2 linked regions of the Oryzias latipes genome follow. The main gene of each other region encodes a partner of the protein of the gene in region 2 in a complex. Links are inferred from orthologs where the notes say so. Each region holds a gene or a part of one and is shown on either strand. Other genes may lie near its edges.

The links. The genes of interacting proteins can lie anywhere in the genome.
Region 1: heterogeneous nuclear ribonucleoprotein Q (region 2) and rpl13a share a complex: the UniProt entries of both Homo sapiens proteins name them as parts of the GAIT complex. The link is inferred for Oryzias latipes from reciprocal best matches to the Homo sapiens genes SYNCRIP and RPL13A.

Annotation. Positions count from the first base shown.
Region 1 is NC_019880.2:9,906,687-9,912,789, forward strand, and holds rpl13a (60S ribosomal protein L13a), read right to left. Parts: upstream 3,476-6,103; 5' UTR 3,415-3,475; coding exon 3,394-3,414; intron 2,782-3,393; coding exon 2,709-2,781; intron 2,517-2,708; coding exon 2,451-2,516; intron 2,405-2,450; exon of another isoform or gene 2,324-2,404; intron 2,258-2,323; coding exon 2,156-2,257; intron 2,062-2,155; exon of another isoform or gene 1,982-2,061; intron 1,901-1,981; coding exon 1,815-1,900; intron 1,658-1,814; coding exon 1,598-1,657; intron 1,406-1,597; coding exon 1,196-1,405; 3' UTR 1,148-1,195; downstream 1-1,147. Other genes in the region: ATPase inhibitor B, mitochondrial, read right to left, coding at 4,867-5,008, 5,098-5,210. UniProt on the Homo sapiens protein: Associated with ribosomes but is not required for canonical ribosome function and has extra-ribosomal functions.
Region 2 is NC_019882.2:1,561,663-1,566,857, reverse strand, and holds part of heterogeneous nuclear ribonucleoprotein Q, read left to right. Parts: intron 1-278; coding exon 279-397; intron 398-477; coding exon 478-699; intron 700-889; coding exon 890-1,066; intron 1,067-1,167; coding exon 1,168-1,303; intron 1,304-1,393; coding exon 1,394-1,599; intron 1,600-2,185; coding exon 2,186-2,335; intron 2,336-2,421; coding exon 2,422-2,543; intron 2,544-2,627; coding exon 2,628-3,234; 3' UTR 3,235-4,642; intron 4,643-5,195. UniProt on the Homo sapiens protein: Heterogenous nuclear ribonucleoprotein (hnRNP) implicated in mRNA processing mechanisms. Component of the CRD-mediated complex that promotes MYC mRNA stability.

The sequences.
Region 1 (6,103 bases), on a different chromosome or scaffold from region 2:
ATTGCTTCATCTCAACATCATTAGTGAGCTGCTGATATCCAACACCACTGGTACACCTGTGAGACCCCTTCAGACATCCCAAAATCCATCTGGGTGATTCTTTGTAGTCCAAAAAAATGTTTTCTCATCTTCTTTTTTCCCCTTGTGATTTTAAAATGTATCCGAGCAGAGCAAAAGGAAAATCATCACAAATACATAAAATAAAAGTCAGACACCGTAAGCGGCTACCTGTACAATGCTGACATGAAACAAAAGGGAACACCTGATTCTGCTTATCAGTCACTGCTAAATTTATTCAAGTTGAAATCAATTGTGTTAAAAAAAGGTTTTCATTTGGGAAAATGCATTAAAGGGTCAATCATCTTCAAGTGAACCGGTTTCAATTTAAAGATTATTACAGATGAGGCACATTATTAAAGGACTGCTATAGAGAGCAGTTGAACTGGTAATGATATGAGTGTCTTAAATGAGGTAGTGGAACTACAGACTGCTCAACAAAAGCTCTCCCTCCCATGAGAACCAGAATAAAAATTCCACCTAAACCTCCACTGCACTGAATACATTAGACTGAGAAATCTAGTCTGCACACAGTTTTACACAAGTGAAACTCTGCTCTTAGAATGAATTTTATGACCAGTTTTTGCCAAGATGGTTATTGTCAAGAGATTTATCTTAAACTACGAATCAAATACTGTCACTCCAAAGCTTTGCAGATTTGTCACTCTAAAATGCTGCAATACTGCCCTCTGCTGGTAGAAAACTCCATGAGGTTCCGAGAAATTTACTACCAGCTTCCCTCATAAACTATGAACCTGAAGCCATTTTTTTTTTATTTAAAGCCTGAAATATTTTTTAATATATGGAAAATCCATTAACCCTTTCACCATCACTCAACCACAATTTTGTGTGATTGTTAAATACAGACTTCTAGACAAAAAAAAGTAGCGGTGCAAGAAGCCCACAATGTTATACTGGGAATGCTATAGTTGTTTATCAATTAAATGCTTTTCCGATAAACTCCAGGAAAAAGTTCCTTTGATCTGCACAAGTTACTTTAGAGCATTAAATAGTCATCCCGTTTAATATGTCTCTTTAAATCCCATAATTAATCAACTGTACTTCAGGGCTGAGTAAGAAAGAATCAAAACACTTTTTATAAACATTTATTCATCTTTATTCGCCAGAACAAACCATTTTAGACAAGAACACCGTATTGTTTCAGAACATCTGTGTATTTTGCGATCTTGCCCTCCACGTTCTTCTCTGCCAGCTTGCTTAGCTTAACCAATGTCTTTTTCTTGACATAGTGGAGCTTGGCCTTCTCTTTTCTCTTCTCCTCCAGAGTGGCTGTGATAGCCTGGTACTTCCAGCCGACCTCGTGGGCGAGACGCCCAAGGAGAGCAAACTGAAGACAAACGAAGCAACAGAAACTTAGGCTCTGAAATTACTCAAAGAAATTGTTTTTATAAAAACAGAAAATTGCTAGCATAGAACATGTGTGCAATTATCACCTTGCTGGATTATGCTTTAAACAAATATTGACCTTTATCTGGCAACGGTTCATTAAAACATGGATTTATTTATTCTTAAGACTTACCTTGCGAGAGGGCTTCAGCCGCACAATTTTAAGAGCAGCTGGCACAACCACGCGCTTTCTCTGCAAGTCAAAACCAAAGATTTAGTAGGAATTTAAAAAACAAACATTTTCCACTGATGGAATTGCGTTGTCACATACATTTAAAAACTTTTTTTTTAACAAAAGATGTGATTTAAAAGTCAGACAGTTGGCCATAGGTCATCAAACAGTGGCACACCTTGTCATAGGGAGGTGGGATGCCATCAAACACCTTCAGCCTCTCCAGAGCAGCCTGGCCTCTCTTGGTTTTGTGGGGCAACATGCCTGTTGGGAGCAAAACATTCATCAATTTTAACGTATAAAAACAAACACTCTGGATCTTATAAACACATCAAATCCTTGCTTAACTCAGAAATCAGATCCGTAAAGTTTTGGATCATCAGTGATTCAATCAGATTCGGGATAAAAAAAGTTCATCATTGTAAAGCAAGGATCCACCTGATACACAACTGTTCTTTTGTCCCATGTAATTTACATCAATACACCAGTGTTGCACTATTCAATGTGTTCACACCCCACCTCTAACTGTCCTCCAAAAGATCCTGCTGGGAGCTCTGAAATGATACGGCCCACGAGACGGGTTGGTGTTCATCCTCTTGCGCAGGAAAGCCAGGTACTTCACTGTCAGAAACAAGTCAAACATTAAACTATGTTCTATCCACCAGAACGGCTGAGAATTGATGTATGCTTGTCTCAGATGGTAGTGCATGTACAATGTTTTCAAGGTCAATGAAACTCAAATACAAGTGGGAAAACATCACAGACAAACATTTATAAAATAAAAATTAAAGCCAAAATTTCAATATTGACTTACGCTTGTTGCGATAGAAGTTGCCAGAAATGTTGATGCCTTCACATCTCACTATAACCACTTTGTGCCCTAAAGAAAGAAAAAAAAAATGGACAAATTAAGAATAAAAAAATATAACAAATTGATCAATAATCCCAATTGTCCAAAATCTCAGATACATATAAAATTCTCATTGTCCTTAAAACTCAACCAAGGGAGAATGTGGAATCATCATAGATGGAGCCAGTAGCCAAATACCATTAGAGATCGTTTATAACTTACCCAGCAGAACTTGTTTAGCCACAATGGCAGCCAGCCGGCCCAATAGATGACCCCTGCCATCTATCAGCAGAACCTGCAAGGAGGATTTATTGTGTTAGTACACTGCGACATGTGGTCGAGGGGGTGTTATAATGAATTTACATTCAAATTACGGTGATTTAAATTTCTAATTGTACACAACTAACGGTGAACAAAAAATAACTCTTTATTAAACGAGGGGAAAACTCTTAAAAGCTACAAAATTTTAAATCAGGCCGGCTAACTTAACGATGATAGCCCCTAGCGTACACGTCAAGCATGCTAATGCATCAACTCCCCTTCCAAACAATACGTAAATATATCGTTACGGTAAGATATTACAGATCTTTCCTAAATAAGAAAGTAGCTCAATTAATTAATCTCAAAATCACCCAACTAAGTGCAAACTACTAAAGTTGACGTAAATAAAGTAAGGCTAGCAAGCTAATCAGCCCTTTTCTTAGGGAGGCTGCCATTATGAAGGCATGTTCTCTCGGCTTCTCGTCTCAAATGTTTCAAATTGAGGCTAAGAGAATGACCCGAAAATCACAAATTTGGAATCTATTGCAACACAAATGATCGCACAATACAAGTGAACCAAGGACAAAAGACCAGATACACTAAACAGTGAAAAAACAATGAATATGTGTAAGCAGCTTCCACGCACCTTATTGAACCGGTCCGCCATGATGAGCGAAAAGAAAGACGAACGGGGTTGCTCATGGTAAAAGGCAGGGGTGGCAGGAAGTGACGACATTTAAGTCTTTTTCATCCGTCTTTTTCGCACGTTCACATTTCCTCGAGAGCATGATGAGTGCCACCCATAGGCTGTAAGGTGCAACCTGAATAAATAATATTTAAAAAAGAAAACAACAATAATAATATTTTTAAAACAGTCTATATATTACCAACCCATATTAATTTTAGCAAGATAGTCTTTATAACAAATAAAAAAAAATCAACATACATAACTATTTGGTGCAAGATTTATAAAGTACGTTAAAAAACAGTACATACTTGAAGTTAATTGATTTCAACCAAACTTTATTGACACTTCTTTTCATGACACATCAAGGGTTCATTGTAAAACACATAATGACCCATCCATCCATCTATTTTCTATAACCACTCTGTCCCTTTTGGGGTCACAGGGTTGCTGGAGACTTTCCCCGCTGTTAGGTAAAGGGGGGGTAAACCCTGGTTGAACAGGTCACCATTCTGTTGCAGGGCACACAATTAACCTACGAAGAATGTTTTTAGACTGTGACAAAAAGGTCTAAGTGCCCAGACAACATGCAAACTCCACACAGAAAGGTTTCAGGTGGGATTCAAACCAGGGCCTTCCATTGCGAGGCGAACAAGACCGTGTAGCACAAAATGACCCATCATTTCTTTTATAAACTCATATTTTGGTTCACATTGCAGCCCTTAGCATGATAACCCAAGATACAATTGAGCAGCCTAGTTTGCCGAATACAAAGCCTGTTATGGTTTGACATGTAATAACTTTCTTCGTGTTTTGTCCTGCAACTCTCCAGTTATTACCTGAAATCACCTGTCTGATTAATTACTAAACAACTCCTTTGGTTAAAAATACTCATAAAAAGCAAGCCTTTCCCACCTTAACAGTTTAAAAAACATTTAGTTTACTTTTGCCATTTACTAATTACTCTGATCACTTTCAGTCAAAGTACTAACAAAAATTAGGCACAGAAGGCTCCAAGTGGGGATAAAGTAATAAGAAAGTAGCTTATTTTCTATTTGGAGAAGTTTTCAACTTTGACAGATTTTAAAGATACCACTTCTGATTACATCAGGCTTTAAAGAAATACCGTTAAATAACATGCAATGATCTAAAAACTGCATTTCGACATTTCTACTCTGTTTTACTTGCAAACACAAAACCCAAAGGACAGTAGTTTAACAGTTTGTGTAGTGAGAACAATGTTGTGTTGTTCTGAAAAAGCATGGAAGTGAAGCAAATGTAATTTCATGAACAGTTTTATTTATTTGTCAACACTTACAGAGAACATCCTATATTATCCGGATTTGCCAGATAATACAGTCTGCATTGTTATCGGTGTGTTTACAAAAAAGGCGCCTCTGATGACTGAAGGTTGGACGTTTTGAAGGGATTGACTCAGTCATCGTGCTTCAACTTTCTGATCTTTCCCTTGTGGCGGTCAATGTCACGCTGCAGACGTTCAATCTCCTTTTTATGGTGGTCGATTTCCTCCTCGTGGTGCTGCCTCAACGCAGCCAGCTGCTCCTTTTCTTTACGTCTAAAGAAGCACAAAATGTGATTTAAAAAAAAAAGCCAAGACTATCAGCACTGAAGTAAGATGTTAATGCAGGATAAAATGACACATACTTGAAGTACAGCTCCTCCTCAGCAGCCTGCCTCTTTCCCATGGCTCCACCCGCATCTCTAATGGAGCCTCCGCCTCCTCCACCTTTCCCTGCACCTTTACCTAGTTCACCCAGCTAAGGGAGGAGCAACAGACCACAGAAATCATCAATGAATTCAATCTTTGGTGCATTAATGTTCACAAACCTTTTAAACTACAAACTTTAAAAGTTTATAACTTTCCCCCCCAAAAAAGCGGTCTGGCTGTTGACATAGAGATTATTTTAACAGAGTTAGAGAAGTGTTATTTTAAAACATTTTAAAATATGTAACAGCCAGATAAATATTTTACTTCGTACTGATTCAAGACGTTTTTAATATCAGGAGCTAATCTTATAATAAACGTACTTATTCTTGGCGTGCACCCAAAAAGAAAGTCTGGTATTTTATTTTTCTCCAAAACAAACTTCTTCCATTATTTAATACAAGCATATGATTTTGATTCTTTGTGAACATCGCACTAAGAACATTTATTTTTGAGGGTCATTTTTAATTTCAGCCAAAAATAATATTTATACATGCAAATATACTGAATACGTAACCATTTTTCCTGGTTTTCATTAGTAAATTACATTTTAAAAAAATACCAGTCCTGATTAAGGGTCAGAAAGTCTAAAGGTTAGGCACCTGTTATTTCCGATTGTTTCGGAAATAAATCTTTTATTTGTTTCTATTTAATTATTATTTTATTATGTTAAGATATTTTCCTGATGTTATTAATTTTTCTTGCCTCCCATGCTTTGTCATGTTGCGCACTTACGGCATACGAACAGATATGGCTGTTCTTGTCTCATTTTAAATAAAGTTAGGGGAGGGGAAAAAAACTTTTGTTGATAGGACGTCAGGTAAAAGGAAGAGATTTAAACGATTAATGAAGGTCAAATTGTGAGAGAAAAAAAATAAGTTAGTTTCTCAGAATGTACATTTTGACTAGTTATTGCAATAAATTTGACATTTTTAAAAATAAGTT
Region 2 (5,195 bases):
GTCCAGAGGTTCAGGAAATCCACATCTGATTCCCTCAGCAACATGTTTTTAAGTCCTTACTCAGTTTATAAGAATACTGTACAATACACAATAATAATACTTAGAATAATATTTCTGGTTTTGTGCGTTCCCGTGTAAGCTGACAGTAAATAATCCTAAATGTGTTTAAGTGTGTGGACAGATATTGATGAAGTACGTTGGAATGTAAATGTTAAATCTGAAGTGTTATTTTGCAGGTGCTCCCCTGAATGTCTATAATGTGCTGTGTCGTTTCTCAGGCCTGGTAGCACACAGTGACCTTGATGAGAGAGCCATTGAAGCTTTGAAAGAATTCAATGAAGAAGGTGCGCTGCAGGTGCTGGTCCAGTTTAAAGAGAGTGATCTGTCACACGTACAAGTAAGTTTTTGGATCCTGGAGGTTTGAAGAGGTCGCATTGTTATTTCATGTGATTAAAGAGGCAACTGTTTGTCTTTCAGAATAAAAGTGCCTTTCTTTGTGGGGTGATGAAGACTTACAGGCAACGAGAGAAACAAGGGACTAAAGTTTCTCGTACTTCCAAAGGACCAGATGAGGCTAAAATCAAAGAACTCCTGGACAGAACCAAATACACACTTGATGTTACAACAGGTCAGCGAAAGTATGGCGGACCCCCACCTGAGTCTGTGTACTCAGGTCCACAGCCAACTGTAGGAACTGAGGTACGGGGTTAAATTCAACGAAGACAAAGCCTGAGAATAAACAGAAGCAAATGTCAGTGAATCAAGAGACCCACTTCTTTGTCTAAGAAACTGGAGGAGCTGTAGCCGGACATTGTGTCTGCAGCACCCCCACACTGAAATCAGTGGTATTCACCTGTATTCTCTGCATTGAATTCTCTTTTTCTGGTAGATCTTTGTTGGGAAGATTCCCAGGGACTTGTTTGAAGATGAGCTGGTTCCTCTCTTTGAGAAAGCTGGATCTATTTGGGACCTCAGGCTCATGATGGACCCCCTAAGCAGCCTTAACAGGGGTTATGCTTTTGTTACATTCTGCGCTAAAGAAGCAGCACAAGAGGCGGTCAAACTGGTGAGTTCATGGAGTTATTTTCAGACAAAAACTTTCATTTTCAAATTAAAATGGGCCGAACGGCCTGTTCCTGACCGTCATCCTGAAATGCCTTTTTACAGTGTAATAACTACGAGATCCGCCCCGGAAAGCACATCGGTGCGTGTATATCTGTCGCCAACAACAGGCTGTTCGTTGGCTCTATTCCCAAAAGTAAAACAAAGGAGCAGATTGTTGAAGAGTTTTCAAAAGTCACAGGTACGACCGGGGTTCCTGTCGGTACTTGAAGAACTTTCCTTAAATATAAATCTTGTGATTTATTTTGTTCTGAATCTTCTTTGTGTCCAGACGGCCTGAACGATGTGATCCTGTACCATCAGCCCGACGACAAAAAGAAGAACAGAGGCTTTTGTTTCCTGGAGTTTGAAGACCATAAAACAGCCGCTCAGGCACGGCGCAGGCTAATGAGTGGGAAGGTCAAGGTCTGGGGCATCCTGGTCACAGTGGAATGGGCTGATCCCATCGAGGATCCCGACCCAGAGGTCATGGCCAAGGTGAGCATCACCCTTTGAAAACCTGATGCTGAACTGAGAAACCCAATGCATGGAAACGCCTGCAGGCCTGTTCCTTTGCCCCCTTGGGGAAGGATGGGTTTGTTTGAATGTTATCTGGCCAAAGCGGTACTCTTCAAAAAGTGTTACTGCATGACAGAGTACTTAAAATGCTTAATGTCCTTATTTTTAACAGTCTGCAGTGCACCTCTGTTTTCACACACACAAGGAAACATATTTTACCTCTCATCGCCACGGCAACAGACTTTTTTCAGAGCAGTGCACATTATCCGTCGGGTAACTGTATTAGGATCTTCTGCTGTGAAGTACAGACAAAGCTGCGCTCGCTAGAGTAAAGCTCCACCCCCACAGCCTCACGCCTTCTCATAGGAGCCGCCCACAATCACTGGAAAGGCAATATTATTGGCTAGAGTTCAGTAAGACTGGAGAGTGATACGTGATATGAACGAAGCCCAGAAATCTGTTTTTAATGGTTCTGGTAATGCGGCACACGTTGGTACAAGGATGTCCTGACAGAAGGAAGCTGCACAGGTCTGATGGGAAAAGCGTTTCTCTATCTGTGTTGCAGGTGAAGGTTTTATTTGTGAGGAATCTCGCCAACAGCGTTACGGAGGAGATTCTTGAGAAGTCTTTCAGTGCGTTTGGAAAGCTGGAGCGAGTGAAGAAGCTGAAGGACTATGCCTTCATTCACTTTGAGGAGCGGGAAGGTGCAGTGAAGGTACACACTTTCATTCAGAACCAGAGCATTCTTTCTAAAAAACAACACAAAAGAATGGACCTAAAACTGACCAAACCTTCATTTAGGCCTTGGATGAAATGAACGGGAAAGAACTGGAGGGAGAGCCAATCGAGATCGTCTTTGCCAAACCGCCGGATCAGAAAAGAAAAGAACGCAAGGCTCAAAGGCAGGCAGCCAAAACACAAATGTATGAGCTGTTAAATCAGCAGGAAAGCCTTCCTCCTCCACAAATACTGACTTTATGCTTCTGATTTTTTTTCCTTTCTGTCAGATATGATGATTACTACTATTACCCTCCTGCTCCCCACGCGCCCCCTGCAAGAGGCCGGGGCCGAGGAGGCAACCGGGGTGGATACGGCTACCCCTCCGACTACTACAGCTATGATGACTACTATGACTACTACGGCTATGACTATCACAACTACCGCGGCGGCTACGAAGACCCCTATTACGGCTACGAAGACTTCCAGTCCCCGAGCCGAGGGCGCGGCAGCAGCAGGGGCGCCCGTGGCGGAACTTCACCGGCTCGAGGACGCGGCAGCGCCGGCGCGCCGAGGGGCAGGCCCAGCTTCCCCCCGCATGGAGGGCCTGGACCGAGCCGCGGAGGGCGGGGAGCGAGAGGAGGCGTGCAGCCGAGAGGGCGAGGAGGGGTACGTGGTGTTCGGGGTGGCCGCGGTGGAAATGTAGGAGGAAAGCGCAAAGCTGATGGGTACAACCAGCCAGATTCCAAGCGTCGCCAGACCAATAATCAGAACTGGGGCTCTCAACCCATTGCTCAGCAACCCCTCCAAGGTGGTGATCATGCTGGTAACTATTTTGGTTACAAATCTGACAACCAGGAGTTTTATCAGGATTCTTTTGGGCAACAGTGGAAGTAAACCAGTAAGGCTTTCATAAAAGGAAAGAATTTATCCTTTCTGCCTTGTTTTTTCTCATTTAGAGACTTGATCTAATTGGCCCTCTATTCCATTTTGTTGCCAGCTTTATTTTTTTGTTTTTTCCACTCAAAAGTTAGTGACACCTGGCAGGATATCTTTATGTATATATTTTATCGATCCGCTTGGACTCGATCTAGTCACTCTCACCTGCTTCTGGCAAACTGCATTTTTTTCCTTTGTTGTTTTTGTTTTTTTAAGGTGGTCGTAAAAGATTCTTCAAATCCAACTTTTCCAACATTTTTAGATGCGAAATGTGCTGAAGCTGTCTATTTGGCTGTAGCTTAATGTATGTTTTATAGAAATTCTGATTTTAATGTTTTAACTAGTTAAAATAAAAAAGCTACCAAGCTTCTGTCTCCTAAAAATGTATTTAATAAGAGTGAAATTACAATTTGTATTGTAAAAGTAATGCGTGTCTTGTTATTGAAAAGAAAAAAAAAAAAGGACAACCGTAGTCCTCATTTTTGGGCTTTACATTTTGGCTTGTATTCTTTGCTGTTTGTCTGCTTTAATAAACATACACGCACACGTGTACAAAAACTTCAAATTGTGTCGCAAATTCATGTTTCGGCAAATTCTCTTTTCAAATTTTCTTCAAATTTAAGGCTCCATGTGGAAGAAGGTGGACTGAAGGTTTGCCATTGTTGGCCATATGCTACAGTGTCACCTTGCATGCCATCCAGTTCCAAGTCACCTTCTGTAGTCGGCATCTCAGAGCTCTGTCTGTGTAGTGGCGTACCTCATGTCCCAAAACATCTCACTAATTGGTGTCCCAAATTCACTGTCAACGCAGCGACGTCAGAACGGCCTGGGGGGGGGGGGGGGGGGGGGCACAAAAGCACAATTGGATTGTAGCCTCAGACTGAAGCTTTTCCTGGTCCCAGAAGGAACTTTGCTGTTCACAGCGTGGAAACTAAACCTGCATGTTTATCTCCAGGTTTGGCGCCGGACTTGTGTTGGGAAGCAGCGCTTTGCATGCCTCCTCCCTGTAGATCTGATTTATGCCCTCATTCCTGCTTCACCCGTGTCTCTGCCATCTCAGCCTTTCCCCGCTGCTCCCTTAAAGTTTCCCGGCCAGAAGCGGCTAGTTTGTCAGGCGCCGGCGTGCATGTTTACTCTGCTTCTGTCACGCCGGAGCTCCCCCCGCCACGTGTCGGTGCTCAGTGTTTAGGGAGCTCGGCGGCATTTGAGTGTGTAGATGTTACCTGATGCTGTTTTCCATCCTCTAATAACTTCCTTTTGTTACCTGGCTAGCAGGGAAGAGGGGTGGAGGCCGGCCCTGATGTGTTGCTCTGAAGACTGACGAGCACATGGCGTTGCACACTGCAGGCTGCCCGTGGAGGGAATGGTAAGGTCACCTGATACAGTGGTCCAATGGTGTTCCAGCCTTTTGTCAAAGACCCACTCTGATGAAAACATGCTCTTCTGGCATTTTGTTTGTTGCTCCAAATTGCATTTTTGAGTACCGTATTTTCTGGTGTAGAAGTCTCAGGGCCCAAAAAGAAAAACGCTGCGTCAGAGTTTTGGGAGAAGAAAAGTTTGACGCTTTTGAACGAATCCAACAAATTCACGCGGAACGCCATTCACGTGTCCAATTTGCTCCCGCTGCTTTTTTCCTGATGTGCATCAAGTTTGATACGTTTATAAACCAGAAGCTCCTGTCACAAGTGGGAGGGGCTACTGTCCAGCTTTTTAGCTCATTGCTGCATAGCAGGATTGGCTGCACACGTCACCTACATGCAAGGAAGACGTGAATGACGTCAACGTATCTACCAAAGCTTCGGTGAACACGGCTCCACGTCTGGCCTCGTAAGATCGTTCCGTTTTTGTTTTGGTACGGCGGCGTTTACCTCCAACTCCTTTCAGCGGTACCGCCGTGTCTCTGCGTCCCCCTTTGATGA